Linked DNA regions of Macaca mulatta. The protein of the gene in region 4 interacts with the protein of the main gene of each other region in a pairwise test. Links are inferred from orthologs where the notes say so. Each region holds a gene or a part of one and is shown on either strand. Other genes may lie near its edges. The genes, in order: ITPRID2, TNFAIP3, UBE3A, YWHAZ, CDC5L and YAP1.

The links.
Region 1: the proteins of YWHAZ (region 4) and ITPRID2 interact in a two-hybrid assay, tested with the Homo sapiens proteins (2 studies listed by BioGRID and IntAct). The link is inferred for Macaca mulatta from reciprocal best matches to the Homo sapiens genes YWHAZ and ITPRID2.
Region 2: the proteins of YWHAZ (region 4) and TNFAIP3 interact in a two-hybrid assay, tested with the Homo sapiens proteins (4 studies listed by BioGRID and IntAct). The link is inferred for Macaca mulatta from reciprocal best matches to the Homo sapiens genes YWHAZ and TNFAIP3.
Region 3: the proteins of YWHAZ (region 4) and UBE3A interact in a two-hybrid assay, tested with the Homo sapiens proteins (2 studies listed by BioGRID and IntAct, with this or other methods). The link is inferred for Macaca mulatta from reciprocal best matches to the Homo sapiens genes YWHAZ and UBE3A.
Region 5: the proteins of YWHAZ (region 4) and CDC5L interact in a two-hybrid assay, tested with the Homo sapiens proteins (2 studies listed by BioGRID and IntAct). The link is inferred for Macaca mulatta from reciprocal best matches to the Homo sapiens genes YWHAZ and CDC5L.
Region 6: the proteins of YWHAZ (region 4) and YAP1 interact in binary tests that used the Homo sapiens proteins (3 or more experiments, as listed by UniProt). The link is inferred for Macaca mulatta from reciprocal best matches to the Homo sapiens genes YWHAZ and YAP1.

The regions. Positions count from the first base shown.
Region 1 is NC_133417.1:86,843,753-86,849,032, forward strand, and holds part of ITPRID2 (protein ITPRID2), read left to right. Parts: coding exon 1-1,097; intron 1,098-3,631; coding exon 3,632-3,709; intron 3,710-3,788; coding exon 3,789-3,916; intron 3,917-4,330; coding exon 4,331-4,481; intron 4,482-5,280.
Region 2 is NC_133409.1:42,970,585-42,975,491, forward strand, and holds part of TNFAIP3 (tumor necrosis factor alpha-induced protein 3), read left to right. Parts: intron 1-194; coding exon 195-375; intron 376-1,570; coding exon 1,571-2,490; intron 2,491-3,209; coding exon 3,210-3,391; intron 3,392-4,171; coding exon 4,172-4,456; 3' UTR 4,457-4,907. UniProt on the Homo sapiens protein: Ubiquitin-editing enzyme that contains both ubiquitin ligase and deubiquitinase activities.
Region 3 is NC_133412.1:4,574,046-4,579,325, forward strand, and holds part of UBE3A (ubiquitin-protein ligase E3A), read left to right. Parts: coding exon 1-234; intron 235-3,889; coding exon 3,890-5,136; intron 5,137-5,280. UniProt on the Homo sapiens protein: E3 ubiquitin-protein ligase which accepts ubiquitin from an E2 ubiquitin-conjugating enzyme in the form of a thioester and transfers it to its substrates.
Region 4 is NC_133413.1:111,303,137-111,308,416, reverse strand, and holds part of YWHAZ (14-3-3 protein zeta/delta), read left to right. Parts: intron 1-990; 5' UTR 991-1,001; coding exon 1,002-1,295; intron 1,296-5,280.
Region 5 is NC_133409.1:137,664,075-137,669,084, reverse strand, and holds the end of CDC5L (cell division cycle 5-like protein), read left to right. Parts: intron 1-2,497; coding exon 2,498-2,710; intron 2,711-3,448; coding exon 3,449-3,553; 3' UTR 3,554-3,846; downstream 3,847-5,010.
Region 6 is NC_133419.1:103,096,242-103,101,521, forward strand, and holds part of YAP1 (transcriptional coactivator YAP1), read left to right. Parts: intron 1-1,941; coding exon 1,942-2,054; intron 2,055-4,160; coding exon 4,161-4,399; 3' UTR 4,400-5,280. UniProt on the Homo sapiens protein: Transcriptional regulator with dual roles as a coactivator and corepressor. Critical downstream regulatory target in the Hippo signaling pathway, crucial for organ size control and tumor suppression by restricting proliferation and promoting apoptosis.

The DNA.
Region 1 (5,280 bases), on a different chromosome or scaffold from region 4:
TTAATGAATCAGAGGAGGAGTCTCTCATCCCTCTTCAGAAGGGACTAGAGAAAGCAGCAGCAGTTGCAGACAAAAGAAAATCAGGTAGCCAGGATTTCCCTCAGTGCAAGACCATTGAGAATCCAGGAACTAAACAGTCCACCTGTAGTTCAGGGGATCATGTTACTGAAGTTACTGAAGTGGAAGAGGATTTGTTTCCAGCAGAGACGGTAGAGCTACTGAGGGAAGCAAGTGCTGATAGTGATGTGGATAAAAGCAGTGAATGTGAATTTACTCAGTATACCACACACCATATTCTGAAATCATTGGCTTCTATTGAAGCTAAATGCAGTGATACGAGCTCTGAAAATACAGCTGGGCCTCCCTCTTCCGTGGACAGAGTTAATACAGCTTTACAAAGAGCTCAAATGAAGGTTTGCACTCTGTCTAATCAAAGGATAGGGCGTAGCCTGCTAAAATCAAAAGATTTGTTAAAACAAAGGTACTTATTTGCAAAAGCTGGCTATCCTCTAAGAAGGTCTCAGTCTTTACCAACCACCTTACTGAGCCCAGTAAGGGTTGTGTCCTCTGTCAATGTTCGACTATCTCCAGGAAAAGAGACCAGATGCAGCCCACCTTCCTTCACCTATAAGTACACACCCGAAGAGGAGCAGGAATTGGAAAAGGGGGTGATGGAACATGATGGTCAGTCTTTAGTGAAATCGACCATTTTCATTTCTCCATCATCTGTGAAGAAAGAAGAAGCCCCCCCGAGTGAGGCGCCGCGGGTGGAGGAGTGCCACCATGGAAGGACTCCTACCTGTTCCCGGCTTGCTCCACCACCAATGTCTCAGTCTACCTGCTCCCTTCACTCCGTCCACTCTGAGTGGCAAGAAAGGCCCCTGTGTGAGCACACAAGAACTCTGAGCACTCACAGTGTTCCCAACATATCAGGGGCTACCTGTAGCGCTTTTGCTTCCCCTTTCGGGTGTCCTTACTCACATAGACATGCCACCTACCCTTACCGAGCGTGCTCTGTGAATCCTCCTTCAGCCATAGAAATGCAGTTGCGAAGAGTATTACACGATATTAGAAACTCACTGCAGAATCTTTCACAGGTATGAGAAAAAGTTATCTTTATTAGCTTTTTTCTTTTACTGCTCTGAGCACTTTTTAATTCACAGAGAAGCTAAGACACATCAAATATGAACTACCTCTGCTTTATTTTCTGACATGTCTAAACTTATCTGCATCTGCCTTCCTTTTCTATCTTCCCTCCTGTTTCAAGGGAGAAGCTGTAACTAATCCTGATCAAAGTCGATTTCTCTGCTCATAATTCTGTCTCCTTTCTGAGAGGAGAGATTTTGCTCATGAAGTATCCTCCCATTTTTAGTCTACCATCCATTGTCTTTGTTTTAGGCTAGAATCTTTGTCAAGCCATTTCTATTATTAAAAAATCTTCCCTCTCAAAGTTCTTTCTCTCCTTTTCTCTGCCATTTGAACATGTTGACTACCTTTTCCTTTTCCAAGTTTTCTCCCTGTTGGCTTCTGTGGCACCACGTTCTCCTGGTTCTGCTCGTAGCTCTCTGACTAAGCTTTCCCCTTCACCTCCTGACCCTCGATGCTGTGCACAGAGTTAGTCTACTTCCACTGGACTCAGAGACTGGAACTACTCCAGACCAGAAAATAACAAATCAGGTAAAGTGTGAATTTGATTTAAAATGCTCTGTATGTCTTGTCACTTTTTTTTTTTTTTTTTGGAGCTGGAGTCTCGCTTTGTTGCCCAGGCTGGAGTGCAGTGGTGTGATCTCCACTCACTGCAAGCTCCGCCTCCCGGGTTTACGCCATTCTCCTGCCTCAGCCTCCCATGTAGCTGGGACTACAGGTGCCCACCACCACGCCCGGCTAATTTTTGTATTTTCAGTAGAGACAGGGTTTCACTGTGTTAGCCAGGGTGGTCTCGATCTCCTGACCTCGTGATCCACCCATCTCAGCCTCCCAAAGTGCTGGGATTACAGGTGTGAGCCACTGCGCCCAGCCGTCTTGTTACTTTTAAAGTCATTCTCAGATTTGTTAGTGGACTGGAAATAATTTTCCCAAAAAAGCTTTGAAAATAAGTAAGTTGTCTTCAGTTTTGCCTTTTACGTTTTCGTGAACGTTCTGAACAAATCATGTTTAGACAATTGAAGAATTGAAGAAAATGACAATGTAATATAGTCATGAGAGCATTCAACAAGGAGTCAGGAGGCCTACAATGAATCTAATAAATCTCTTATCGTGACATAATAGACAGGGAGCCACTTGGAAAGTAAAAATCAAAAGTGTAACTTCTCAAGTTATAATAAGATATACCTTCTCCTAACTAAGTTTTATCCTCATGACAGTTGTCCCCTGTTTTCTGAATGGGGACAGTTTCAGAATGTGGGTGTTTCTTGTTCTTCCTTACAAAATATAGTTCTGTCTGTGACGGAGATGTTTAACTTTGCAGCTGTAATTATGTCAAGCTGGGGATTTCCAGGGGCCTGTCCACCAGTACCGTGGTGCATCTTTCTTTCTAGGCCACCTTGTTCTTCTGCTCCAGCTGTGGTCTCTCTCTCCTGGATGTCCCAGCAATAACTCAGCTAATAAATCTCCCCATGCCAACCCCACCCCAACTAGTGGACAGATGCTTTCTATGATGTGGTCTCTGACTGTCTCTCCAGCCTCATTCCTTAGCTGTGTGTTTCAGCCATCCTGGAGGACTATGCACAGGGCTCTAAACAGTTGTGTGTTCTTACATATCTGCACATGCTGTTTTTTTTGTTTTTTTTTTTTTGTTTTGTTTTTTAATAAAAAGATGAAGTTTCTGTTTGTCGCCCACATGGAGTTCTGGAGACAGTGGTGTGATCACGGCTCCCTGCAGCCTTGAACTCCTGGGCTTAAGTAATCTTCCTGCTGTGGCCTCCCAAAGTGCTGGGACTGCAAGCCACTTTTTTTTTAACCTAGATCACCCAGCCTTTGCCTTTCTTTGCATAATCAAGCCCTACTTACTGTTAAGGCTCAGTTCAAGTAGTGTCACCACTTTTGGGAAAGTTCATGTAATATGAATTTTTGTGTGTCCATCATAGCACTGCTTCCACAGTATTATAATTTTTACAACATTTTGTTTATTTTTCCTTACACTGTGAGGACACCTGAAGGCTGGGAATACCTTTTATGTTATCTCACTGCCTAAAATAGTGGCATATGGGAAATGCTCTCTAAGAAAGACGACGACGATTGCTTGCTACTCTCTCCAGAGAGTGTAATAATCGCTATACTCTCATGATGATATTTGCAATGACTTCTACATTTTTGCATTTTGATTTTGTTTTTGTTTTTTTTTTTCACTTTTGCAAGGCCAGAGGAAAGTCCTGAAAGAAATAGATGTGAACTATGTATGTTCCTTCGCCTTCTCCTCCTTCATAGATTGACTTATACCCGGAACAGCTAGCAGTAATAGATGTCATTGGGAACTGATTTCTTTTTTCCTGCTTACAATATGAAGGTTTTTTAGATCCTTTTGTCTTAACGAGAAAAATATGTAGGCCTCACATTCTGCCTTTTAACCCTTTAAGTGATTTGGAAGTATTCACTTTAACATTGATTTTAATCCTACTTTTACTTTTTGAAGTACCCTATGATGAGAGGACCTGATCTTGCTGCTGCTCCATATAGTACTCAGAAATCATCTGTTCTACCTCTTTATGAAGTAAGTTCTTACTTACATCTTTGTGTTTCAAAATAATTTGTAGAATTTAGAAGTGTAATTTTGTTTTATTGCATTCTAGAATACTTTTCAGGAGCTCCAGGTAATGAGGCGGAGCCTGAATTTGTTTAGAACACAAATGATGGATTTAGAATTGGCAATGCTGCGTCAGCAAACCATGGTTTATCATCATATGACTGAGGAGGAAAGGTAAAAGTTCATTTTGTCTTAGCACTCCTGAAAAAGCTTTTCATTCAAAGTCTTTTCAACTTATATTTTTAAAAATTAGGTTTTGATTTTACTGCTATGTACCTTATATCCGTTTTGTGAACCAGTGTAGATAAAATAGTCATAGATAGTGTTTTACTAAGTAAACTTGTGTGCCTTCAGTATCCTAAGGGTGGTTGTAACCAGTTTTCCAGTGTTTGAGATATTTGTGAGAGGATGGGGGAAGAAAGACCAATATCCTTGTGGATATACCTATTGTAGTTGATATTGTACTAATTATTATAGAACCTGAGATTTCTGTACCTTCTGTTAGCATATAGTAGTTGTTGAAAGATTTGTGATTAGGAATCTCCAAACTGCATTTTTCAAACTTTGTGCCCTTCACCATACCAATAGGTTTGAAGTTGATCAGCTCCAGAGTTTGAGAAATTCAGTCCGAATGGAACTTCAGGACCTGGAACTGCAGCTAGAGGAGCGCCTCCTGGGCCTGGAGGAGCAGCTTCGTGCTGTGCGCATGCCTTCACCCTTCCGCTCTTCTGCACTCATGGTATGCTACCTGGAGGGTGGTTGGAGTTTTCACCAAAGATTTATTTATAATGTTCTAATAATTTAGGACTTGTGCCTTCATTTCAAGTTATTTATTTTAATGGTATTAAAAGCATGCATACTGTTTAAGGAGCTTTCCCACAAACCAGTTGAATGTACAGTTTGTAATAATTGTTATAAATAGCATATTTAGAAATATGTTGAAACATTTTAATGATAAATTTTAATAATAGGAAAGAATAAGGGAAAGTTGAGTGTTTTTAAAGGAAAAATGATAGTGAATTAACATATGACTAATGTAAATTTTAATTGTTGCATGTAACTGTGGAGAACACAGATATGTATTTTGCTCAGTTTTTTTTTCTCTCTTGCCTTTAAATAAAAAGCGTTCCCTTTAAACTTTTTCTTTATTTTGGATTCTTTTCCATTTGTTTTTAAAGGAATCAAATGGTACCTGTATATTTTATTTTATATATATATTTTTTTTCCTAAATATATAGATGTATATCCAAGAGAATAAAAAGAAGTATCTTTTTGTACCACTTTTCATACTTCTTATGTTTCTTTCCATGACATTTGAACTTCAACAGTTGTATTCTTATTTTTGCAAATATCTTTGAAGTTGTAGAATATGTTGCTTTGAAATGTTGAAGTAGTGAATTATTATTCTTTACCTTAACAATGTATTTGATTTTGTTAAAAAATGGCCTGAATATACACACATATACTTATGTGTGTATATACTACAAATGAAGTAGAATAAACATTTGTGTATAAGCTCACATATATGTATAGTATAG
Region 2 (4,907 bases), on a different chromosome or scaffold from region 4:
GTTTCCTGGAAACAGTGCATTTTTATATTAGATTGTAGCACATTCTGTTTTCCCTTTTGGGTTTAACTGTGGCTGAGAATAGTTTTCTATTCTGTAAATTATATATTTTACACACTTTCAAAATGCGATCTACTTACCTATGGCCTTGTTTAGTAGAATACGATTTTACTTATGTGTTATTTTTTTTCCCTCAGAAATCCGAGCTGTTCCACTTGTTAACAGAGACCGAGGAAGATTTGAAGACTTGAAAGTTCACTTTTTGACAGATCCTGAAAATGAGATGAAGGAGAAGCTCTTAAAAGAGTACTTAATGGTGATAGAAATCCCTGTCCAAGGCTGGGACCATGGCACAACTCATCTCATCAATGCCGCAAAGTAAGCAGTTTATGTTCAGCTCTCTCCTGTGTCATCTGTAACTGTCTTTAACCTCAGCCACCTGAGTTGCTGCCACCCTGAAGCTCAACAGTAGAGTGATTTGTGGCCAGTTTCTGCCAGTGGGAAACAAATTCAGAGCCTTGTGCATGGTTAGAGAGGATTCTGTAAGGCCGTACTAACTTGGGTTTCAAATCGAAATAAGTCATTTATCCATATTGAGTTTCCTAGATATCTGGATCCCAAAAGCCAGAATTGCAGAATTATGGGTTTTCAAAGTGCATTTACATCAAGGATAGTTGTTGTTTTTTGTTTTTGTATTTTAATTACTCTGGTACGTATTAAAAAGACTAGCAAGTGAAAACACTTGGAAACAAAAAGCTTTCTCTCTTGGCTTCTTGGTAAGAACAGGCACATCAGACATAGCTGGGGCTGTAGAATTGTTCCTGTTGCAGCTCATGATTCTGCCACATGGAATGGGAGGAAAGCCCCAGAATGCCCATTGTGCAGGTATCTGGTCTTTAAACGTTGGCTTTATGTTAAAGAGATGCCTGTTTCTGAGCACTTGAGATGCACAAGAGATGACAAGGAGGCCGTAAGAGAATCTGTCTCTCAACGTGGAGATTAGCAAATTACAGAGTCAACAGTAAATAGGCAAGTGCCTTTGAGTGTGTCTGCATCTTAGTTACTCATGGCTGCTAATGCTGGTGGAGACCAGACACAAGTTTAAAGTTAGTAATAGCAAAATACCCAACCTGAGGTTCCAAAGTAGTTTGTGCTATAAAGTAGACTAGTCCCAAACGAATGGCCTGAGTGATGTTTTACTCAAAACTTGATCTCTGAGAAATTAAAGAGTCAGCTGATTTTTTTTTTTTTTTTTTTTTTTAGCCCTTGTTTTAAAACTATCTATAATTTTTGGATGGACCAAGATTGATTAAATGAAACTGTGATTTTAAAAATAAGGAAGTCTTAGCAAACTAACTGACATCATTCTTGACTCTAGAACGTGTTGGGAAATGTGTCAGATCATGTTACGTGAAAAGTGTGAGCTCTTCATCACAGGCCTGCGTTTCAGTTAATGGTTCTGCAATTCTTGCCATAATCCATATTCTAAAACTTTGTTCTGTAGGCTAATGATGTAAAATCTTGTGTGTGATTTTGTGTAGTCTCATACATATTTTTTCTTTTTGGTCTTCAGGTTGGATGAAGCTAACTTACCAAAAGAAATCAATCTGGTAGATGATTACTTTGAGCTTGTTCAGCATGAATACAAGAAATGGCAGGAAAACAGCGAGCAGGGGAGGAGCGAGATGCATGCCCAGAATCCCATGGAATCTTCCCTGCCCCAGCTTTCTCTCATGGATGTAAAATGTGAAACGCCCAACTGCCCCTTCTTCATGTCTGTGAACACCCAGCCTTTATGCCATGAGTGCTCAGAGAGGCGGCAAAAGAATCAAAACAAACTCCCAAAGCTGAACTCCAAGCCGGGCCCCGAGGGGCTCCCTGGCATGGCGCTCGGGGCCTCTCGGGGAGAAGCCTATGAGCCCTTGGCGTGGAACCCCGAGGAGCCCACTGGGGGGCCTCATTCTGCTCCACCGACAGCACCCAGCCCTTTTCTGTTCAGTGAGACCACTGCCATGAAGTGCAGGAGCCCCGGCTGCCCCTTCACACTGAATGTGCAGCACAACGGATTTTGTGAACGTTGCCACAACGCCCGGCAACTTCACGCCAGCCACGCCGCAGACCACACAAGGCACTTGGATCCCGGGAAGTGCCAAGCCTGCCTCCAGGATGTCACCAGGACATTTAATGGGATCTGCAGTACTTGCTTCAAAAGGACTACAGCAGAGGCCTCCTCCAGCCTCAGCACCAGCCTCCCTCCCTCCTGTCACCAGCGTTCCAAGTCAGATCCCTCACAGCTCGTCCGGAGCCCCTCCCCGCATTCTTGCCACAGAGCTGGAAATGACGCCCCCGCTGGCTGCCTGTCTCAAGCTGCACGGACTCCGGGGGACAGGACGGGGACCAGCAAGTGCAGAAAAGCTGGCTGCATGTATTTTGGGACTCCAGAAAACAAGGGCTTTTGCACACTGTGTTTCATCGAGTACAGAGAAAACAAACGTGAGTGAAATGGTTGACTTCCTAACATAGCAGCTACTGTCCAGAAGAGGTTTTGTTCCTGACCTTTAAGGAAAAAATCCCGTGTGGGCAGTCAGGCAGAGTGGTCAGGACCTACCGTGCTTTTCTACTGGCTTGTGCATGGGACAGCCACGGTGGCCCTGCCAGCTGCCCATGGAGGCAAAAGGCACTGCGTGGTTATAGCAGCTCCTAATATCACATTCCAAAAACCAGAGTGCCCTGTAGACAGAGCTCATGGGATTTGCTTTTACTAGACCGTTCAGGTCTGGCGTATCTAAGACAGTCTTAAACTAGACTTCTTTTGCAACTTAGATATAATAGAACAATCTTAAAATCTGAAGAGTAGTAACTGGAGAGAAGGAAGTCTCTCTTGACACTGTAAGGAAACAGATGTGGTTTTGGAAATCTCTCGTTTGAAAGAAGGGTGACCAGGTAATGCCTGCTCTTTGCCCTGTTCCTGTGACCAATCAGTGCTTCAAGTTCAAAATGAGAGATCGGTAAAGCCAAAGATGTTTCCATAATAGTGTTGTTATTATTTCTTTTGCTGAATTTATATACTTAAATATGTACATATATATATTTCTATATATTTAAGGCTGGCCTAATCTGTATTTGGAACCCATTTATTTCTCTAATGTCAGCATCTCTGTATCTGTGGGGTGACCCCTATGTGGTACTAACTAGCATCCACTCTCGTGTAGATTTGGTCGCTGCCTCAGGGAAAGCCAGTCCCACAGCCTCCAGGTTCCAGAACACCATTCCGTGCCTGGGGAGGGAGTGCGGCACCCTTGGAAGCACCATGTTTGAAGGATACTGCCAGAAGTGTTTCATTGAAGCTCAGAATCAGAGATTTCATGAGGCCAAAAGGACAGAAGAGCAACTGGTGAGACATTTTGAGGAGTTTTCCCTCCCTCCCGTGTGTCCGGTGCTTTTTACTGGAGCGTTGGCTTCCAACAGTGACAAGCAGGCTTTCGTCTCTGCCAGGTTCTGTCCCCTCATGATAAAGGATTAGTTCAGAACCTGAAGGGGAATGTCCATGTCACTGTGGCTCCCCAGGTCCGAAATGCTGCCACCGATTTTCATGCTCCAAGAATACTTTTGAATTCATTTTAAAAACAAAGAAACACAGCCATTGCATAAAACTTCTTCCAGCCCCCAGAAAGCCAGACCGTGATCAGAGGCTTCTTTGATTTGTAAGAGAAGCACAGACATCTAAAAAGCAGCCCTTCTTAAATAATCGTTTATCACAAGGAGCGAACAGACAGAGCTTGCCGGGGGCCTGCGCTTAATGGTACATCAGAAAAGCCAGCTTTGACAGATACAGGTGTGTCGCCTGTTGTTCACATAATGGTAGAGAAGCTATCTAAGAACAGTGGTTATTGGTCCCAACAGAAGAGAGCCAGGGAAAGTTTGCAGGCCAACTTAGGCTTGACGGTTTTCCTCAGCCTCCCTGGGGGCCAAGTCAGCTTTCCTTGAGATTGGAAGGAAACATCCTTCAAGAGCTCTGGCTCATAGACTGCGGTGCTCTCCTGTTCCCTTGCTCAGGCAGGTAAAGCTCTTTGTAGACTCCACACTATCCAATGAGATTTCACTGTGCTGTCCCTAAGAAATGTGAGCAATAGTTTCCTGACTTTTTAATGATCCGTCTGTTCTTTCCACTCAGAGATCGAGCCAGCGCAGAGATGTGCCTCGAACCACACAGAGCACCTCAAGGCCCAAGTGCGCCCGGGCCTCCTGCAAGAACATCCTGGCCTGCCGCAGCGAGGAGCTCTGCATGGAGTGCCAGCATCCCAACCCGAGGATGGGCCCCGGGGCCCACCGGGGTGAGCCTGCCCCCGAAGATCCCCCCAAGCAGCGCTGCCGGGCCCCCGCCTGTGATCACTTTGGCAATGCCAAGTGCAACGGCTACTGCAACGAGTGCTTTCAGTTCAAGCAGATGTATGGCTAACCGGAAACAGGCGGGTCACCTCCTGCAAGAAGTGGGGCCTCGAGCTGTCAGTCATCATGGTGCTATCCTCTGAACCCTCAGCTGCCACTGCAACAGCGGGCTCAAGGGTGTCTGAGCAGGAGAGGAAAGATAAGCTCTTTGTGGTGCCCACGATGCTCAGGTTTGGTAACCAGGGAGTGTTCCCAGGTGGCCTTAGAAAGCAAAGCTTGTAACTGGCAAGGGATGATCTCAGATTCAGCCCAAGGTTCCTCCTCTCCTACCAAGCAAGAGGCCAGGAACTTCTTTGGACCTGGAAGGTGTGCGGGGACTGGCCGAGGCGCCTGCACCCTGCCCGTCAGGACTGCTTCATCATCTTGGCTGAGAAGGGAAAAGACACGCAGTTGGGTGGGTTGGAGAAGCCAGAGCCAGTCTACCTCCCCTCCCCTAGCATCTCTCAGAGATGTGAAGCCAG
Region 3 (5,280 bases), on a different chromosome or scaffold from region 4:
ATGAAGCCTGCACGAATGAGTTTTGTGCTTCCTGTCCAACTTTTCTTCGTATGGATAATAATGCAGCAGCTATTAAAGCCCTCGAGCTTTATAAGATTAATGCAAAACTCTGTGATCCTCATCCCTCCAAGAAAGGAGCAAGCTCAGCTTACCTTGAGAACTCGAAAGGTGCCCCCAACAACTCCTGCTCTGAGATAAAAATGAACAAGAAAGGCACTAGAATTGATTTTAAAGGTAAGATGTTTTATTTTTAATTGAGAATTGTTGGCTGAAAACCATGTGGGAGATTTAAATGTATGAGTTTTTATTTGTTTTTTCTTATGTGACATTAAGACATTTTGATACTGTAGAACCAATTTTTTGTTTTGGTAAAGGACAGGAATAATAACTACATTTTACAGGTTTAATCGTTGCTAATTAGAAGCAGATCATATGCCAAAAGTTCATTTGTTAATAGATGGATTTGAACTTTTTAAAATTCTTAGGAAAAAAAGTATTAATTGATAGTTAATCTCCAAAACTAGGCCACAACATCTATTTAAGTTATAGAATAACTGGACTCAGTATCTGGCATGAGTTCTGGAACCTCAGGATGATGTGATGAAAGAAGTAGGAAGAGGAAGCAGTGGGTTTTTTTCCATTTTAGAAGGCAAGACAAAATTTTGTGATAGTTATGTGAGAATTCTACATTTCCTTCAAATATATGCTTCTCACTCTCCTCACAAACATTTGGTACAGTCATGCTGCCAAGGGTGGTGACCTACCAATGACAATCTTCACTCAGGTCTTTTGTTTTTTAAATGGTCCTGTGTCCAAAATTCAGGATTCGATTACCTTGTCGCTAATACTAAAACTCCAAGTTATTTTCCTCAGTGAATGTAATTAGTAACACGGTAATCAAATTTTTGAATGACTGCCAGGGCTTAGCGCCCCTGCACCCCCACCCCCATACACACGCAGAGGCAATTGTATTTTAAGAGAGAAAGCTTTTTGTTTATGACGTGTAAGTGACAGAATTTTAGAGGCATTTGCCTCTAAAACTTTCAGTAACATCATCTGAATCAAGTTTGAAAGAATTAATGAAGTGGCATTGTGTTATAACCTCTACTGTTTCCACAATAGAATTATTTTCGTCACTTTACACAACTTTGTTGCTTCAGAGTGTATAGTTCTGTTTCATGAATTAGCTCACACACTGTGGAAAAATAGGTAAATGTCTATATATATAGTGTGTCAGTATAATGTGGAAGCTGCATTGACTCTATTGTACACAGTTCTCCAGTAAGTGTGCACCACAGAGTACCAGTAACTGAACGCAGAGTGCTGGCACAGTGGAATGCAGCCAGCTGGGGGGGGTGTGATACATGAGGAATGTACTCATCTGCTCTTTTGGCCACATGCTCCATCTTAGAGATGCTTATTGTGTGGCTTTATCCGGTCTTTATGCCCCCACCTCTTTTTGCTGAAGTCTGCATTAGTTAGCAGTTTTGACCTTTCCTTTTTCCTACTTTCTAATCTGCTACTGGTACTATTCCCTGTTCTTTACTGTTTTGTTTTTGTTTTTGTTTTTGCAGTGTTTTACAGTTACTATCATATATTAGAAATTAGAAATGCTGTCTCTGCACTAGTACTCTTATTTTGATTATTAATTATGTTTATTAACACTAATCACAAAGTTGCGTAACTATTAAGTAGTCTGCACCAAACTCTTGTTGTGTAAAAGGTTTTTAAGTGCAGAATTTAAAAGATTGAGTATTTTCAGGGACACATTTATCACAAGAAATCTTACAAAAAATGTCTTATTTAATATATTCTCAGTAGAACACCTCTATCAGTAAACCAAACTTTATGAATGTTCATATCTAATTACAGTGTTTTTTGACTAATTTTTATCTATATATCTGAAAAATTCAGTTTAACATATTAAACACTACAGGCCAGGCATGGTGGCTCATGCCTGTAATCCCAGCACTTTGGGAGGCCAAGGCGGGCGAATCACGAGGTCAAGAGATCGAGACCAGCCCAGTCAACATGGTGAAACCCCATGTCTACTAAAAATACAAAAAAATTAGCCGGCTGTGGTGGTGTGCACCTGTAGTCCTAGCTTCTCGGGAGGCTGAGGTAGGAGAATCGCTTGAATCCAGGAGGCAGAGGTTGCAGTGAGCCGAGATCGTGCCACTCCAGTCTAGCCTGGCGACAGAGCGAGACTCCATCTCAAACAACAACAGCAACCACAACAAAAAACACTACATGGAAAAAGTATAGGTACATTCTATATAGGATTAGTAGACTGTCAGAATCACTTGAAGATGTTCCGAAAGCATGACATATCAACAAAGGACATGTGAGTCTAGAATCGTGATCCCTAGGACAGGCCATATTACTGCATGCAAAGCAAGTCTTTGTTAAGCTTATGACTTGCTCAGGAAGCAAAGTGTTTTATGTCTTAATTTTCTGTTACATTTTGGGAAATTAGATAGGGGTTTTGCATTGTCTTGGAAGAAGGTATTATAAAAATTTTCAATGAAAATAATGAGAAATAGACTTCCAGTGGTTTTACGCTTTTGGGGAAAAGGTTACTGATGTTTAGCAAAAGATGCTTATATATTCTTAATAGAACAAACCTGAGAATTAGTTCTTAAAGAGTTAAGGCCCATAAAAGAAACTGCAAGTGTTGACACTCTTGTAGCTTGGCCACAGATCAGATCCTTAGTATGATAAAATTTGGTATTTTTGTGGTTCAATTTTTGGAGACCATTCAGTGATCACTTACATTTTATATTGTCTTTCATTGTGAAACAGATATATTATAGCAGAGGTGGGAGTCATTAAAAATTCTACATGTTGTATAGTACATGTATAAAGGTATGTTTGGCACAATGGAGGTAGGATTGTGTGCCTCTAAAATTAACCCCTTAAGTAGTTAATCTGATGATGATAAGTATGTCACTTTATTGATGAAAGGGAGAATTAAGACTATTCTCAGTATTATGTTGGTCAGTACACAAAATATATCATTTGTTTTTACCTGTAAAATAAAATATCTTTCATCCTGTTAGCCAGAAGGGGGAAAGCATTGGCCTGAAAATAACACTTATCTCAAAAAGTTGGGAAATGTGGTCCAACTCTGTGCCCAGGAAAAGAGGAAACAGATTTTGATGACTACATAGTCTCTGCACTGCTTGCCAGCTCATAAGTTGCCTTCTTCGCACTGTTTTCATTGCTCAAAAATTATTTTCTGTCACTCTATGAGACTTAGTCTAACCTGATTGCTGGCTGCAGAAAGCAGTTTCTGCTCAAGAGCTGATGAGAAATGGTATATTCTTCTCAATCACTCACAGAATGACTACCCTGGAACAAACTAGGAAGACCCAAAATGAACCAGTTTTCTTTTAATACATACATAGATGCTGAAGGAACCTTTCTTTTAAGACTTTGCCTTCTCAGTCTTTTGAGAACGGAGTACTGAAACAAGAAAACTCTCAGAAGATTAGTAGTATTTCTGTTCTACAGTGAGGTTTTAAGAGCTGTATTATGATTAATCAGTATATGACATATTGGTTCATATTTATAAATAAAGCTATACATTAATAGATATCTTGATTATAAAGAAAGTTTAAACTCTCCTGATCTCATTAAGAGTTATGCATTGTTGAAAGAATGTAAAAGCATGGGTGAGGTCATTGGTGTAGGTAGTTCATTGAAAAAAATAGGTAAGCATTGAATTTTGTTTGCTGAATCTAAGTATTAGATACTTTTAGAGTTGTATATCATAAATGATGTTGAGACTACAATGTTTGGCTGTTTTACTTTTATTAGAACTTTTTGCAACAGGGTAAACATGCATATTATGAAAATAAATGTTCTCTTTTTTCCTCTGATTTTCTAGATGTGACTTACTTAACAGAAGAGAAGGTATATGAAATTCTTGAATTATGTAGAGAAAGAGAGGATTATTCCCCTTTAATTCGTGTTATTGGAAGAGTTTTTTCTAGTGCTGAGGCATTGGTACAGAGCTTCCGGAAAGTTAAACAACATACCAAGGAAGAACTGAAATCTCTTCAAGCAAAAGATGAAGACAAGGATGAAGATGAAAAGGAAAAAGCTGCATGTTCTGCTGCTGCTATGGAAGAAGACTCAGAAGCATCTTCCTCAAGGATAGGTGATAGCTCACAGGGAGACAACAATTTGCAAAAAGTAGGCCCTGATGATGTGTCTGTGGATATTGATGCCATTAGAAGGGTCTACACCAGATTGCTGTCTAATGAAAAAATTGAAACTGCCTTTCTCAATGCACTTGTATATTTGTCACCTAACGTGGAATGTGACTTGACGTATCACAATGTATACTCTCGAGATCCTAATTATCTGAATTTGTTCATTATCGTAATGGAGAATAGAAATCTCCACAGTCCTGAATATCTGGAAATGGCTTTGCCATTATTTTGCAAAGCAATGAGCAAGCTACCCCTTGCAGCCCAAGGAAAACTGATCAGACTGTGGTCTAAATACAATGCAGACCAGATTCGGAGAATGATGGAGACATTTCAGCAACTTATTACTTACAAAGTCATAAGCAATGAATTTAACAGTCGAAATCTAGTGAACGATGATGATGCCATTGTTGCTGCTTCGAAGTGCTTGAAAATGGTTTACTATGCAAATGTAGTGGGAGGGGAAGTGGACACAAATCACAATGAAGAAGATGATGAAGAGCCCATCCCTGAATCCAGTGAGCTGACACTTCAGGAGCTTTTGGGAGAAGAAAGAAGAAACAAGAAAGGTCCTCGAGTGGACCCCCTGGAAACTGAACTTGGTGTTAAAACCCTGGATTGTCGAAAACCACTTATCCCTTTTGAAGAGTTTATTAATGAACCACTGAATGAGGTTCTAGAAATGGATAAAGATTATACTTTTTTCAAAGTAGAAACAGAGAACAAATTCTCTTTTATGACATGTCCCTTTATATTAAATGCTGTCACAAAGAATTTGGGATTATATTATGACAATAGAATTCGCATGTACAGTGAACGAAGAATCACTGTTCTCTACAGCTTAGTTCAAGGACAGCAGTTGAATCCATATTTGAGACTCAAAGTTAGACGTGACCATATCATAGATGATGCACTTGTCCGGGTAAGTTGGGCTGCTAGATTAAAAACCTAGTAATGGGGATATCATGATACAGTTCAGTGAATTCATTTTAAAAGTGACTGAAAAAAATGATACCATATAGCATAGGAACACATGGACATTTCTGATCTTAGATATAAGTATTAC
Region 4 (5,280 bases):
CCAACTTGCCAAAGGATATCTTTCCAGAAAAATGTAGCTGAGGTAAATAGAAAAGGTCTAGGAAACTAAAACGCGAGGGAAAGAGAATTAGGTGGATAGTCATGGTGAAGAACAGCTTGAGTGATAACATCCAATTACAGTATGACAGCTAGACGCAAAATGCAGCACTTCTGCATTTCAACTGGAGCAATGACATTGGAAACACTTGTAAATCAAGTACTTCCAACGTGATATATTCTAGTACTCACAGTAAGAGTTGAAGTGCCATGACTTGTGGATATTTTTAAAGCATGTGGACATATAACAAGATAAGGAGTTGAGGCATTAGGGTCAGATATTGATCCTTTGTGGTGGATTTATACTCAAAATATCTGAAAACAAACAGTTTGGTCATTCCTCCCCCCAAATTGTTATGCTATTATTGGCTGGCAAATGTTGCAGAGATCTAGTAGGTTTGGGGTGGGGGTAACACTAAAACTAAAATTTAATCACTCCTGACGAAAGTATTATGAAAGTAAAAAGACATGAGTTAAACTGACAAGAATTATGATTCTGGAAATATGATAGAAATCCAGATGTTCTCTGTAAACAATGCTTTTACTATGGAAGAAAAGCTGCTTAATTTCAGATCACTTAGTGGTATTGGAAATGAGTTGAGATTTTGGTCAAGTAAGATTAGGGGTAAGTTTTTGAGGCAGCTTTTGAAAGTAATTTTGACCTTATGTGAAATCTGTATCTTCTGAACAAATTTTAGTTTTGCTACACTGATGTGTTAATGGCTGAAAGTTTACCTCTGATGCTGAGTATGCTGAATTTTTTTTCCTTTTCTGACTATCCTTTTGTGAAGCTGCATTTTAATTCTTCATGTGAACAGTCTTCCACAGGCAGTTAGATTTCAGGTTTAAAAAACTCATTTACCACAGGTATAATTTTGAGTCTGTTTATTTTGATGGGAAAAATTTTAAATACTCCTTTTTTTCCCCCCTGCAGAACATCCAGTCATGGATAAAAATGAGCTGGTTCAGAAGGCCAAACTGGCCGAGCAGGCTGAGCGATATGATGACATGGCAGCCTGCATGAAGTCTGTAACTGAGCAAGGAGCTGAATTATCCAATGAGGAGAGGAATCTTCTCTCAGTTGCTTATAAAAATGTTGTAGGAGCCCGTAGGTCATCTTGGAGGGTCGTCTCAAGTATTGAACAAAAGACGGAAGGTGCTGAGAAAAAACAGCAGATGGCTCGAGAATACAGAGAGAAAATTGAGACGGAGCTAAGAGATATCTGCAATGATGTACTGGTGAGAATCAATTGAATCTGGCTTCATTATACTGTAAGGTTCCTATGAGTATCAGTTACATTACTCTCAACGTTTTCTTCGGTTTATCTTTTCCTTCTAAACATTGTGTGTTCAGATTTAAAAGTCTTCATGGTGTCATAACTAAAAAGATGTTAAGACAATTATAGATATGTGTATGTAAAGTAATTGTAATAATGATGATGAAACAGTTCAGTTTTAAAAATAACAGACTTTAGTATTATTGAAAAGATAAACTAATAGTATTACTGCTTTACTTATGGTTAGAACATTTGTGGTAGCTCTATAGCTGGTTATCTTAAATGTACATCTATGGATAAAGGAATTTTACATATTTTATGTAAGAGAGATGTAATAGGATACTGATTGTAGAAATAGTACTCTTCTCAGGATTAGCCGCTATAATGTTAATGTAATGAGTCAGCCATGCAGAAAACTCTGGCGTCACGACTATGAAACCTCTTTCCTGCATTGAATTCTTGAAAATAAATTTTGAACACTCGCAACCATGATGAAAGGTTATGAATAACTCAAGCTTGATTTTTCCAGTTTGAATCGAGTATTTTAAGTATTCAGTACCTACTGTGTTGAAGCACTACGCTTAAAATGATTAAACTACATTTTGGTTAATTTTAATCTGTCATACAAAGTAGGGCTTTTTGATCAAGAATAGTTTAAATTTGAGGATAAACTAGTAGAAAATCCAAGCTGGCAGTTTTTGGAATAATATTTAAAGTGATTTTGCTAAATGGTTACACTTAACCAGTATGGCAGGACTCTGATATACAAAGAGGGGCAGCAGCATCGCGATTTTTCTGGACAGGTTACTGAATGTGGGACTCAGTATGGAAATCCAGGTGTGTTACTTACTATATGAACCTTATTTATATGGAAGAAGTACTGTAATGAGCAATAGGATAATGTCTGATGTGGTTGTGGGTTTGGGGTTTTTGTTACAGTTGTGATGATGCTATCATTTCTTTACACTTGTATTTACTAATGGAATAGCATCAATTCCTAAACTGTATTTTTCTCAAATGATACTTGACACTGTCTTTTAAAATAATAGTGATTTTTTAAAACATGCTTATTTGGGTTCACAATCACAAACTCAATGAGACATCTGTCTTGGGGCTTTTTTTTTGTTGTTCTTATTGAAACCTTTACAATGATAGCTGTTATTTGTATCTAAGTTGAAAAAAGGAATATCTTGCTTTTATTGAGGCCAAGTGACAAATACCTATCTTGTGATTTTGCTAAGGTAGTAAGAATATTTAAATTTTGAAAATGTGATTTTTTTTCTATAATAAAAAATGTATTGGGTTTTTTTTTTTTTTTTTCCTTGCTCTCCTTACTAATATCTGTGTAAGTGTAACTCAGTTTTGTTCAGTCTGGTGTTACACTTGATCAAAAAGTTTTTATTTGGGCTTCAAAGGATATGTTACAAGTTAACATTTCCCTTAAGACAAAAGTCAATTTTAGGAATAAAAAGGAATGTGACATTTACCTTTTAATAACACGCTTATTTGCAATACCAGGTAGGTATGTGCATGTTTTCCATATACAAAGTATAAAAGTTCCTGTCATTGTGAGTCTTCTCCTGGGAAAAGACTTGTAGCAGGTTTGTTTTTTTGTGTTTCTTTTGAGACTGAGTTTTGCTCTTGTTGCCCAGGCTTGAGTGCAATGGCATGATCTTAGCTCACTGCAACCTCAGCCTCCCGTGTTCAAGCAATTCTTCTGCCTTGACCTCCCTAGTAGTTGGAATTACAGGGCGTGCGCCACCACGCCCAGCTAATTTTTGTATTTTTAGTAGAGATAGGGTTTCACCTTGTCGGCCAGGCTGGTAACCAGGTCAGGTCTAACTCCCAACCTCAGGTGATCCACTCACCTCAGCCTCCCAAAGTGCTGGGATTACAGGGGTGAGCCACCATGTCTGGCCCAACTTGTAGCAGTTTTGACTATGCTTCCCTTTGGTTTCCTTATCAAGAAAAATTTTTTGCATAGAACCAGTAGATGAGGATGACAAGATAATCTCTTAATAGCTTCTTGTTGTTATGATTATTAAGGAGTTTGATTCTGGTCCCTACTCACATCGTTACCCTCTAGAATAGCACTGGCTTCTTAAAAAGTCTAAATGGTATTTATACTTTGAAAGTTTGGATGAATGAGAGTTTTCTTTACTATACAAGTGGGTTCGAAGAGAATTCTAAACAAGCTTTGGCTTCCAGCCTTAGTCTTTTTAAGAGTAAGACTTAGTGATCTTTGCATACTCAGAACGTGTAGTAGATGCTCAAATATTTGTTAAACAAGCAGAAAGGCTTTTTTTGAGAAAGGATAGAATTAGGTCAGCAGCACTGCAAAATTTCCCTGGCTTTTTCTTTTTCTGCTTGGGAAAATTTGATATTTACAGATAATAGGCTTCTTTTTCCTACCATCTATTTCAAATAGGTCACATCGACTCTGGAAACATTGCATAAAATTCCTTTTCCCCTTTTTAGTGAAATGGAAGAATAAAGTGTAGCAGAACTGGTATTTCTACTAGAGAAAGTTTTTGAATCATTGTTACTTAATGATTATTAAAAATATTTTAAATTATATATTTGAGATCTTACATGGTAAAAAAATCAATTATAATTTTTTATTACTCCAGCCTTTTCTGGGCTTTGAGAGATATATATGTATATACACATATACATATATATATATATACACACACACACTTTAATTTGAGAAAAATAAGCAGGTAATCCCTTTGCAGAATTAATGGTATTGGCTGGTGGCATTAGTGATAACCAGATTTTTTATATTGAGCACCTATTTTATAATAGCTATGAAAATATACTCTTCCTACAAAAAGCAGCTAATCTCCAACGTTCTGAGTTTTTCTGAAGAACTTTTTAGTAACCCATTTTGGTTACATGTATTTATCAATTGTTTAACCATTTAATAAGCAAAGAGCTTGGACCATGTTGCTTATTACAAGAGTTAATAGAGCATTACCGTGGAAAGTGGTCACTGGCATGTTCTTCACAAGGTGGACTTTTCATTATGTAAAAGAACTTCGAGTTCTTCTCTTCCATGTGTTAATTTGAAACTGCAATATGTGAACTAATGCAATCTGCCTTTCCTGCCAGATGCTTAGACAGAAACTCTCTTGGTAGTTGGGGAGGGACTCAACACTAGCACCTCTTTAAACCTGAAAGATGGCAGCCAAAAATTGGGTAGTTTTTATCTTGCACTTGATGAAATGAATACCAAGGAAACACAGTCTAGGAAGACTATTTCAAACTCAAAGAAGTATGTCGAGGTGAATAATGGAGCTCAAGATACTGAATCAAACTAGTTTTACCATTTAATAGATGCATGGCCTGAGGAAATCACTCAGTCCCTCTGAGAAAACTAAGCTCAATTAAATAGGAATAATTCTCATCCCCCAGGGTTGTGGGGAATGAGAGGTAAAGCACCTTGACTACCTTTTGTGTCCTGTTTATCTTAGCTTTTCAGTTCTATTTAAAAGTGTGAGCCTGCCTGTAATAGTGCAGGGGTCTCTTAACTTATAGTCCATGAATGGAATTTAGAAGATGGACGAAGCCTTTAAGATTGTGCATTTTTCTGGGGCAGAAGGTCCATGCCAACCATCAGATTTTCAAAGATTTCATTTTAAAATTTAAAATCCACTGCTATAGGCAAAGAATGACTTTATAGGAAGTCTACGACAGGAAGCAGTATAAAATTGTGTGTCTAACATTCATAACAGTTGGCAACTGCAGTTCAGTAATCTTAATAGTGATTCAGTTAATTCGACTGAGTTCTATTTTATTGCTGCTCTACATTTTTATTTGCTCAGAGCAATTTTAAGTTGTGGTTATGGGGCACCGATTTTTATCTCCAGCCCACAGAACTACCATTAAACAAATAAGATAAGAAAGCAAGTAGTTTTTGAGTCCCTTGTAGTCTGAATATATTA
Region 5 (5,010 bases), on a different chromosome or scaffold from region 4:
CACTCCCTTCTGGCCTGTAAGGTTTCTGCTGAGAAATTCTCTGATAGTCTTATGGAGGTTCCTTTATACATGGTGATATGCTTTTTTCTTGCGGTTTTCAATACTCTGCCATTAGTTTTTGACATTTTAATTGTGATGTGTCTTGGTGGGTCTCTTTGAATTTATCTTATTTGGTGTCTTTTGGGCTTCCTGGATCTGGCTTTCCATTTCCTTCCCCAGGCTTGGGAAGTTTTCTGCCATTATTTCTTTGAATATGTTACTTGTTCTTTTCTCCTTCTGGCACCTGATAATGCATAAGTTGTTCTCCATGATGGTGTCCCATAAGTCTCTTAGGTCATTCTTTTTCATTATTTTTTCTTTTTGCTCCTGAGGTTAGATGATTTCCAGTGACCGGTCTTCTAGTTTACTGATCCTTTCGTCTGCTTAAACTAGTCTGCTGTCGAACCCCCATATTGAATTTTTCAGTTCAGTTTTAGTAGTTTTCAGATCTATGTTTTCTCATTGGTACTTTTTAATACTTTCTGTCTCTTTGTGGAAGTTCTCAGTTTGTTCTTGCATTGCTCACTTGACCTCGGTGAGCATCTTTGTGACCATTATTTGGAATTTCCTGTTGGGTAAATCATATATCTCCAGTTCACTTGGGTTGGTTTTTATTGCTTTATTTTGTTTCTTTTTTTTTTTTTTTGGGGAATATATTTTCCTATTTCTTAATTGTTCTTGGCTGTCTCTATGTTGGTTTCTGTGCGTTACATGAGACAACTGCCTCTCTCAGACTTCTTAGACTGGCCTTGTGTAGCAGAAGGATCTTGCCAATCCATCCAGCTAGATATTTTAAGATACCCTTTAAATCTTTGTATTTGTTCAGACTGCTGTCTCTATTCTTGGTACTATATTCCATCAATACCCTGTAATCAGTCAGGTAGAAGCCAGATGCTTCGATGTAGCTGGGAAGGTTGAGGTGTTGGGTATGTGTCCTAGTTCCTTCTGTCATCATGTTGAAGATAAGTGCTTGATTCTTCCACTCTCTCTACACTAAGCCGTCTCTGTGGCAAATGCCTATACTTGTGTTGTGGCTGCACTCTGTGATCCTGGTGAGATAATCTGCTGGAAGTGGGCTCGTAGTATGTCCACCTCTGTTTTCTGTGGTTTAGGGAGATTCAGGAATGCAAAGCCCTGTCACTTTCCAGAGCTTAGGTTGTGAAGGGTACAGTCCCTTGTCTGTGTGGAGCTGTAAAAGTGTGGCACGCAGTCTGTAGACAAACTCCTTTTAGGAAGAATGAGTAGGCCTGGAATTATCAGTGGGATGTGCTGGGGGAAAGGCTCAGGATATGCCAAGTTCCTGCTCAGGCTGCCTGAGGGGTACTGTTTATCTCCCGCATTAGCTCTCTGATGCAAGTTAGAGGCCAGGCTGTCAAGTAGCCACTGGAAGAGTATGTGGTTATAAACCCTTTCTGGAGAGAAAATGAGAGCTGCATGTTCCAGACTCTTTTCTTCACTGCTCCCAGAGAGTGTAGCCCTAGAAAGTATTTGCACACCTGTTTAAAACCACCTCCTTGTTTTCTGATCTAGAGAGACATGCATATGCTTAGTCTCTTCCATTACCAGATCTAGGAGATTTAGGATATAGTCCTTTGGGTAGATGCTGTGCAAATTGAGGCATTTGATGTGTGGATAAACTCCTAGGAGGAATTGGTAGGCCTAGAGTTACTGCTGGGGCAGACTAGGGGGAAAGGCTTGGAAAGTGTCCAGCTGCTGCTTAGGCTGCCAGAAGGCTACTTTTGCAAAAACTCCACTGTCCCATTAACTCCCCATGCACGTTAAAAGCCAGGCTGTCAAGTAGCCACTGGAAGACTGTGCCATGAGCCCCTTCCAGGGAGAAATGTGGAGCTTCATGTTTTTGGCTCCTTCTCTGCACTGCCCCCAACGGGTGCAGTCTGTGAAAGTACTTGCATGCTTGATTAAAAGTATCTCTTTGTTCTAGGGATGTAGTGATCTAGGAAGACTTGCACTAGATCCCTCAGCTCCCAGAGCCAGGAGATTTAGGATGCAGGCCCTGGGATGGAAACTGTAAAAGTTGGGGTCTTGATGTGTGAACAGACTCCCAGAAGTACATTTTTGGGATATAGATGATGAAGATAGCTTGTAGCTAGTCCCAAAATAAATACGTTGAATGATAGCAGAAGTCATTTTCAGAAAGTAGGCATTAGTTTTTCCCCTACTGTGACATTCAAGCCCGCTTTGAGGTTCAGTCATGGGTCAAATTATTATAAATAGATTATAGATTATTTGGTACTCACCTATAAAACCCTTTAGGTGCAAGATAAATCCTTCTTAAGCTTGATTTTTTTTTTTTTTTTTTTACAGTAGTTGAGCTATAAGGAGTTCTAGTGTATTTTTGCTTTGAGGCACATGCATGAACGAATGGTACCTTTTTAGCCCTTTATTTAATAGCCTACTTTTCTCATGTATGCTGATGTGATCTTCCCCTGCTCTCCAGATAAACAGGGGTCACATGACGACAGAAGCCAAGAGAGCTGCAAAGATGGAAAAGAAGATGAAAATTTTGCTTGGGGGTTACCAGTCTCGTGCTATGGGGCTCATGAAACAGTTGAATGACTTATGGGACCAAATTGAACAGGCTCACTTGGAGTTACGCACTTTTGAAGAACTCAAGAAACATGAAGATTCTGCTATTCCCCGGAGGCTAGAGGTAACGTTATATATTGAAGCGTTGCTTTAAAAGAGTGCTGCAAAGAATTATCAGGGCTGTCCTCTTTTACTTCTCCTATGTAGGCTGTCTCTGAAGTTGGTAGTGTCAGGCTTTTAAAAATGAGAGCCTAAAGTGTTTGACTTTAATCTAGAATTGCCTCTGTGTAGATGGATAGACTAGGCAAGTTGTAGATACAAAGGCCTTCCTTTACTCATGTTCTGTTTCATACGTAGATACACTGTGAAATGGAATACTTAGCCCTTGTAATTTGTCCCCTTGAAACTTGATCACATCCCATTCGTGTAGCTCTGTGAGGGGAAACTAAACCAATATCTTTCTGTTTTATAACTTAGGTGGCTGGGAACATAGCTAGTCCTTCCAAACCATCAAATTCCTTTGACCGGATTTGGATTCAATTTATCTCCCAAATGTGCATAATAGCTCCTGTCCAGCTAAAGGGCAGCCAGGGCTTCTTGAAGTGCATTTGTGGGTACTGATAAGACAGTAGTGGTTTGTTTATTTGAAGTAGCAGCAGGATTTCATATGACCAAATCAAAGAATGGCTGTGATACTGGTTTTATAGCAAAAGTATTTGATACGTTTGTTTCTCTTTGAGAAATTTTTACCTCTTAAGAATCATGATTTAACTCAGCTGGTTTTTAAGATAGTAAAGTACTGTAGATTTTTTTCAATATAGTTACATCTAAAAGAATTACTTAATATTTTTGTTTCTTTAAGTGTCTAAAAGAAGATGTTCAGCGACAACAAGAAAGAGAAAAGGAACTTCAACATAGATACGCTGATTTGCTGCTGGAGAAAGAGACTTTAAAGTCAAAGTTCTGAAGTACAGTTTATATTCTGTCACAGGATTAATTGCCGGTTTTCATACTCTAGAAGGCTGAAACTGATGCTTATCTTCATTGACAAATTTACCCACCATCTGTGGTTTTTTGGTTGTTTATTTTAAATGATATCGATCTTACACATTCTGTGTATAAAGACCTTAACTCCACAGGACGGACATTTTAGAGTTTAAATTATTAAGGCTGTCATTCTTTTAGCAATGTCATATTTGCAAACTTTTTTAGTTTTGGCCTTTAATTTAAAAAGCCTAATTTTAAAGTGCTGCCTGTGAGTAACTCTTAAATAAAAACAAAATATAAAAAATTGAGAATGTAGCCTTTTGTTTTAAGTAATTAGATACTTAAGAGTGCCCGCAAACCAGCAGCTATGTACTCTGTGTCATATTTAATGAGTAACTCTTGGGTAATCAAAATGGTGATGCAGTATCTTAAACACTTAAGAGGCAGTTCTTTGTGGCTTTGTTAGTTTCAGCAAAGAATGGTCATTTCTGTGTACACTGACGAGTTAGATTAACTTTTTAGTACCTCAAATTTTTTTTAAATATCACTTTAAAGAAGGTTTCTTCTCCTCCAGCTACTTAAATAATTTATGGGTCAGGGCTTAAAATATTTAATTTTCCTTGACCTATTATTTTCTTGTAAGTATTTTTTGACAAAGGCATTTTAAAAGTTAATTTCAAGAAGGCCATCAAACTTAAAGCTCTATGTTTAGCGTAAGAAGTCAGTTACATCAGTGTAGAATTTGGGGAATGGATAGAGGTGGAGAGATTTAATTTTATAATAATTCATATAAATTAATTTAGTGTACAGTATCAGTTGGCTATGAGCTCATTATAGGCCAGCAATGTTTTGAGATGACCAAAAACATTTGCCCAGTCTTAGAATACTAGGAACTATAGGAAGGGAAGGGATTCATTCATTCATTCATTCATCAGATATTGAATGTATACCCTGTGCCAGAGTTTTAGAGAGAGAACAACGAACAAAATAGGCCTAGTTCTTGTTTAGTAGAGCTTATAGTCTTTTGAGAATAACAGACAATTAAAATCCAAATGTTTATTTGGTGATTCTTATGTGTCAGACACTTACTTAAGTGTTGGAGATAAGCAGTTATTAAGACAGAGTTCTTGCTGTCACGGAGGTGACATTAGTGGGGAGGAGATACTAAATATGTACAGGGAAAGTATCAGACCATGAGTTTCAGATTCTGTGGAGGAAATTAAAGTAGGGTGATTATGAGATAGTGAATGACTGGCTATTTTAGACTGGACGATCAAAGAGACCTCTTGGAAGGCAGCTGTGCTCACCACTATACCACTGCACTGTACCACACCATACCACTATAAGCTGCATGGCCAAGGAGACCTCTTAAAGAAGTAACATTTAAGATAACATGTGATTGACATTTTAGAATGGGCCATCTTTGTGAGATTCAAG
Region 6 (5,280 bases), on a different chromosome or scaffold from region 4:
TCCTTAAGCTCTAAATACTTTTTCCCCCAACTTGCCATGGCATTGACTCTTAGTAGTAACGCAAACTTCCCTTATCTCCCTTTTACTTTTGAGATCCCTCAAAGCTCACTCAGATGTCCCCCTCCATGAAACCTTTACCCTTTACTTTCAAGCTCCTTGTTTGTTGTGAAAGTACTGTGCCTACATAGTTCATATAGCCCCTGTATATGATTCAGTAGTATATTTGTTCATTTCCCTCCTTGAAGTTGTGAGTCTCTCACAAAACATTGTTTGTAGGTGGTGGTGGTGGTTAACCTCGTTATCCTCAAAGCCTAGTTTAATGCCTGTCATGTAGTAGCAGATGCTCAGTGAATGTTTATTGAATGAGTGGGGCCTGTAGGAGGTGAGGTTCTGCAGGGAGCAGTTCCTCGCCAGGAAAATGGCCCTGTAAACTCTGTTCTCAGGAATGCCCATGTGCTTCCCCTGTGGTTTGGAATGAACTCTGCACAACTCTGTAAGTTCAGCTATTCAGTAATAGACTAAAATGTCTGATGTGCGTCCCATGCTTAGCAGCCGAATAGAGTGATGACTAGGACCAGGCTCTTGTCCCAGATCAGGGCACGCAAAATACAAACAAGCCAAATACTGAGGCCTTCTCATCCATGGCTGCATTGTATATCAGTGGTCTCAGAGGCAAGTATGTGTTTTCTTGGATCTGTGTGAAGCTTTTGAGCATTGGCAAAATCTGGCAGAAGCATTAGAGTAAACCAGTGATTGCAGTATATAGAATGAGGGGAGAGAAAGAACAAGGCAAACGCATTGCATCATTTAGGGAAGGCAGTTGGGGTACTGACTGAGCTTGTAGCCTTGAGCAATTGTTAAACTTGTTTTTATTTTTTAACTTTTATGTAAGTTAAATAGCTGCTTTTAAATGTACAATCTATAGAGAAAGTTAAAGTTCACACATGTACACAGACCATTGAAGAATAACAGCTGCCTTGATTTTATGCTTTTCTCCAAGATTTTCTAGAGTTAGTAGAACTGAGAATTTTCTAGAGTTAGTAGACCTCAGTGAATGCCCGCTGATGTCTAGATGCTACCAGCTTAGGAGAGTGTTCTATTTATCAGAGTAATGGATATTTACCATACATGAATGTAAATCTGGGAAACCTTGCTTAGTCTAAAGTGAAAATCTGTGTCGGGTCATTTTATTTTCAAGGGATGTGCCTTGCAGTTTTTTGTCTTGCTCTTTCTTTAACTGGAGCTATATGATCTCCCGTTTCCTTTCGTACTAAAGTGTTTGAGGGTTTTTCCTCCCCCGCCCAAACACAGAAGCAAGGAGATCAAGCCATGAGTATTCTTATCTTATCAGCAGTGACTCATCTATTTTGGTTCAGTCCTAAAAGGAATTCTGGTGGTTTATTTGGGGTTGATTTTTCCTTGGCTTATGTTCTCTGCACAAGAGCTAGGAATTTAACTTGAATCTAGTGCAGACCTGTCTCCTCGCCCACCTGGAGTTTGTGTTTTGACCTCTCTGTCTGTGCCACCACCACCTGGAGAATTGAGACCTTGGGACAAGTAAGTTGTGTGGGTTCCTCCCCACCTCCAGATTCAAATAGTATTACAGAGAGGAGAATACTCATGCAGAGAATTGTCTGCCAGCCAGGAAAACTAACTGGGGGTACCTTTTTTTGTCCCTTATTGTCATCAAGCACAGAACCTTAGGAGAAATCTTGGCTCTTTAGGGCTGCTAGCTTCAATTAGGATTAACTTGTCTATTTCACTTCATAGCACAAGCCCTGTCTACGGCCCTGAGGGAGGGGCTTGTTTCAGACATTGCAGAGCAGGAATTTTCACTAACCCTCTTTGAGAATTATGTTGGTACTCAGCAGGTGTTTATTTTTACCTTGAATTGATTTTTAAAATTTTTTGTGTTGGTCTTTAACTGTCATGTTTTTGTAGTGGCACCTATCACTCTCGCGATGAGAGTACAGACAGTGGACTAAGCATGAGCAGCTACAGTGTCCCTCGCACCCCAGATGACTTCCTGAACAGCGTTGATGAGATGGATACAGGTTGGTATTCTTTATTCCTCTTAGTAGCCTGACTTACAGTCGGATATGTTATCACCAGGTCTAATAAGGTATTGTAAGCAAAGATTATTCAGAAGAAAACCAATTAAAATCCTGTAAATTCGAATTAAATTGAGCCTGCTTTGTCTCTATATGGTGATTTGTAACTGGTATTTTCCTAGTTTAAAAAAATATGTATCATGAATTGGCCGGGTGCGGTGACTCATGCCTGTAACCTCAGCATTTTGGGAGGCCAAAGTAGGCGTATTTCTTGAGCCCAGGAGTTCAAGACCAGTCTGGGCAACATGGTGAAACCCCATCTCTACAAAAAAATACAAAAATAAGCCAGGTGTTGTGGTACGTGCCTGTGGTCCCAGCTACTCAGGAGGCTGAGGTGGGAGGATGGATTGAGCCCTGGTGATCACACCACTACACTCCATCCAGTTTGGGTGACAGAATGAGACCCGTTCTCAAAAAAAAAAAAAAAAAAAATCATAAATTGGATATATTAGCTCTATTTGAATAAAACTCTGGCAGCATGACTTACATTAGCATGTTGATCTTAATTGGCAAGACAAACAAGTGCCCGTTAGAACATCTCTCTCCTTATTATGGATTTGTGTCCTTAATTTTGAGAAATGTCTACATGTTATTCAGTGTTTGTTTTCATCTTTTCTCTTAAGAGTTTTTGGTCCACCTTAGGTGTTACGGGGCTCAGGAAACCAGATGGGAAAGACTAGGAGGTGGGGCCCACTTACTTTATTAGAATAGTTGCAGAAGGCCAGGTGTGGTGGCTTACACCTGTAATCCCAGCACTTTGGGAGGCCGAGGTGGCCAGATCACCTGAGGTCAGGAGTTCAAGACCAGTCTGGCCAACATGGTGAAACCCTGTCTCTACTAAAAATACATAAATTAGCCATGTGTGGTGGTGTGCGCCTGTAATCCCAGCTACTCAGGAGACTGAGGAAGGAGAATCATTTGAACCCAGGAGGCGGAGGTTGCAGTGAGCCGAGATCACACCACTGCACTCCAGCCTGGGTGACGGAGCAAGACTCTGTCTCAAAAAAAAAAAAAGGAATAGTTACAGGGGTCTTGCAGGAGCTAAGAAATACCTGCCTCACAGGGATAATTAAGGAAGCATTTCTCCTGTGGCTTACCTGGCAACCATTGCCTTAAACTTGACAACTGCCAGACTGCATGAATTGGCAGGGAAATGAAGCTGTTCTTTAGCTACCAGCTCTTTCGCTAACTGCTTCTCTTCTGAAAGTGTTTAGCAAGGCTTTTGTGCCTGTACTCATCCAGCTCCTGGCTTTGATGCTTTCTAGAATCCACACTACCCCCTCCTCTCTGCTTACCTAGATTTTAAATCATCCTTAGGAGCCACTTCAAACCCATTTCACACACACTTTTACTTCTCTAATCTGTATTTCTCTCTTCTCTAGATCCCTATAGCACTTAATGATTTATATTAGTTTTTCTGAAAGTATGTTCTATTGAAGCTCTGAGGAATGTTAATGTTGTCATATGCAAAAAAGGCTCTGTGGCGGAGTAAGTTTGGGAAACCTAGAAGCAAGGCTAAGAAGATGTATTTCTTCAAAGCCCTCTGGGAAGCTTGTTTTGCTGTTATGAAGGTGCATAAGGGTGGAATAAAGTATTCATGCAGTCCTTTTATTTTAATGTTTCCCAAAGTGTTTTTAAGACCAAGGAAGTTCTATACCACTCGTTTTTATGTTTAGTCTTATTATGGTGGTGCTTATCTGGAAGACAGGGTAGTGATGCTGTTGTGTTGTGTTCTTGTTCTTTCTCCCCCTGCTGCATATAATTTTTCAAGGACTTTTTTATTTTTTTAATGACTCCCTTTAGTGCTCAGCACATAATAGCAATCGAGCTGTTATTGGATATCTGAACAAATGTTGAAGCAAAAGTAAACTCGGCATTGTTATCTTGTTACCTGTGAGTTGTTTGACCTGATATAAATTCTAGGTATCAGTTTAGGTCAGTCAGGAGCGCTTTTCTTTCCCTGTGCATTTCTGTATGCTCATATGATACAGCCCTGATGTTAGCTTTTCAAAAAGGACTTTGTTATCTCTCTGTGTGTGTTTCCACTAGGTGATACTATCAACCAAAGCACCCTGCCCTCACAGCAGAACCGTTTCCCAGACTACCTTGAAGCCATTCCTGGGACAAATGTGGACCTTGGAACACTGGAAGGAGATGGAATGAACATAGAAGGAGAGGAGTTGATGCCAAGTCTGCAGGAAGCTTTGAGTTCTGACATCCTTAATGACATGGAGTCTGTTTTGGCTGCCACCAAGCTAGATAAAGAAAGCTTTCTTACATGGTTATAGAGCCCTCAGGCAGACTGAATTCTAAATCTGTGAAGGATCTAAGGAGACATACGCACCTGAAATTTCCATAAGCCAGTTGCAATTTTCTGGCTAATACAGAAAAAGATGAACAAACGTCCAGCAAGATACTTTAATCCTCTATTTTGCTCTTCCTTGTCCATTGCTGCTGTTAATATATTGCTGACCTCTTTCACAGTTGGCTCTAAAGAATCAAAAAAAAGAAAAAAACTTTTTGTTTCTTTTGCTATTATAACTACTGTTCATTTTGGGGGCTGGGGGAAGTGAGCCTGTTTGGATGATGGATGCCATTCCTTTTGCCCAGTTAAATGTTCACCAGTCATTTTAACTAAATACTCAGACTTAGAAGTCAGATGCTTTATGTCACAGCATTTAGTTTGCTCACCAGTTGTTTCTTCAGCTGCCTTTGGCCAGTGGAAAAACATGATTTACTGGTCTGACAAGCCAAAAATGTTCTATCTGATATTAAATACTTAATGCTGATTTGAAGAGATAGCTGAAACCAAGGCTGAAGCCTGTTTTACTTTCAGTATTTTCCTTTCCTCCTAGTGCTATCATTAGTCACATAGTGACCTTGATTTTATTTTAGGAGCTTATAAGGCATGAGACAATTTCCATAGAAATATATTAATTATTGCCACATACTCTAGTATAGATTTTGGTGGATAATTTTGTGGGTGTGCATTTTGTTTTGTTGGGGTTTTTTTTGGTGGGGCGGTGGGGGGTGTTGATTGGTTGGTTTTGTCGGAACCTAGGCAAATGACCATATTAGTGAATCTGTTCATAGTTGTAGCTTGGGACGGTTATTATAGTTGTTTTGGTAAAATCTTCATTTCCTGGTTTTTTTACCACCTTATTTAAAT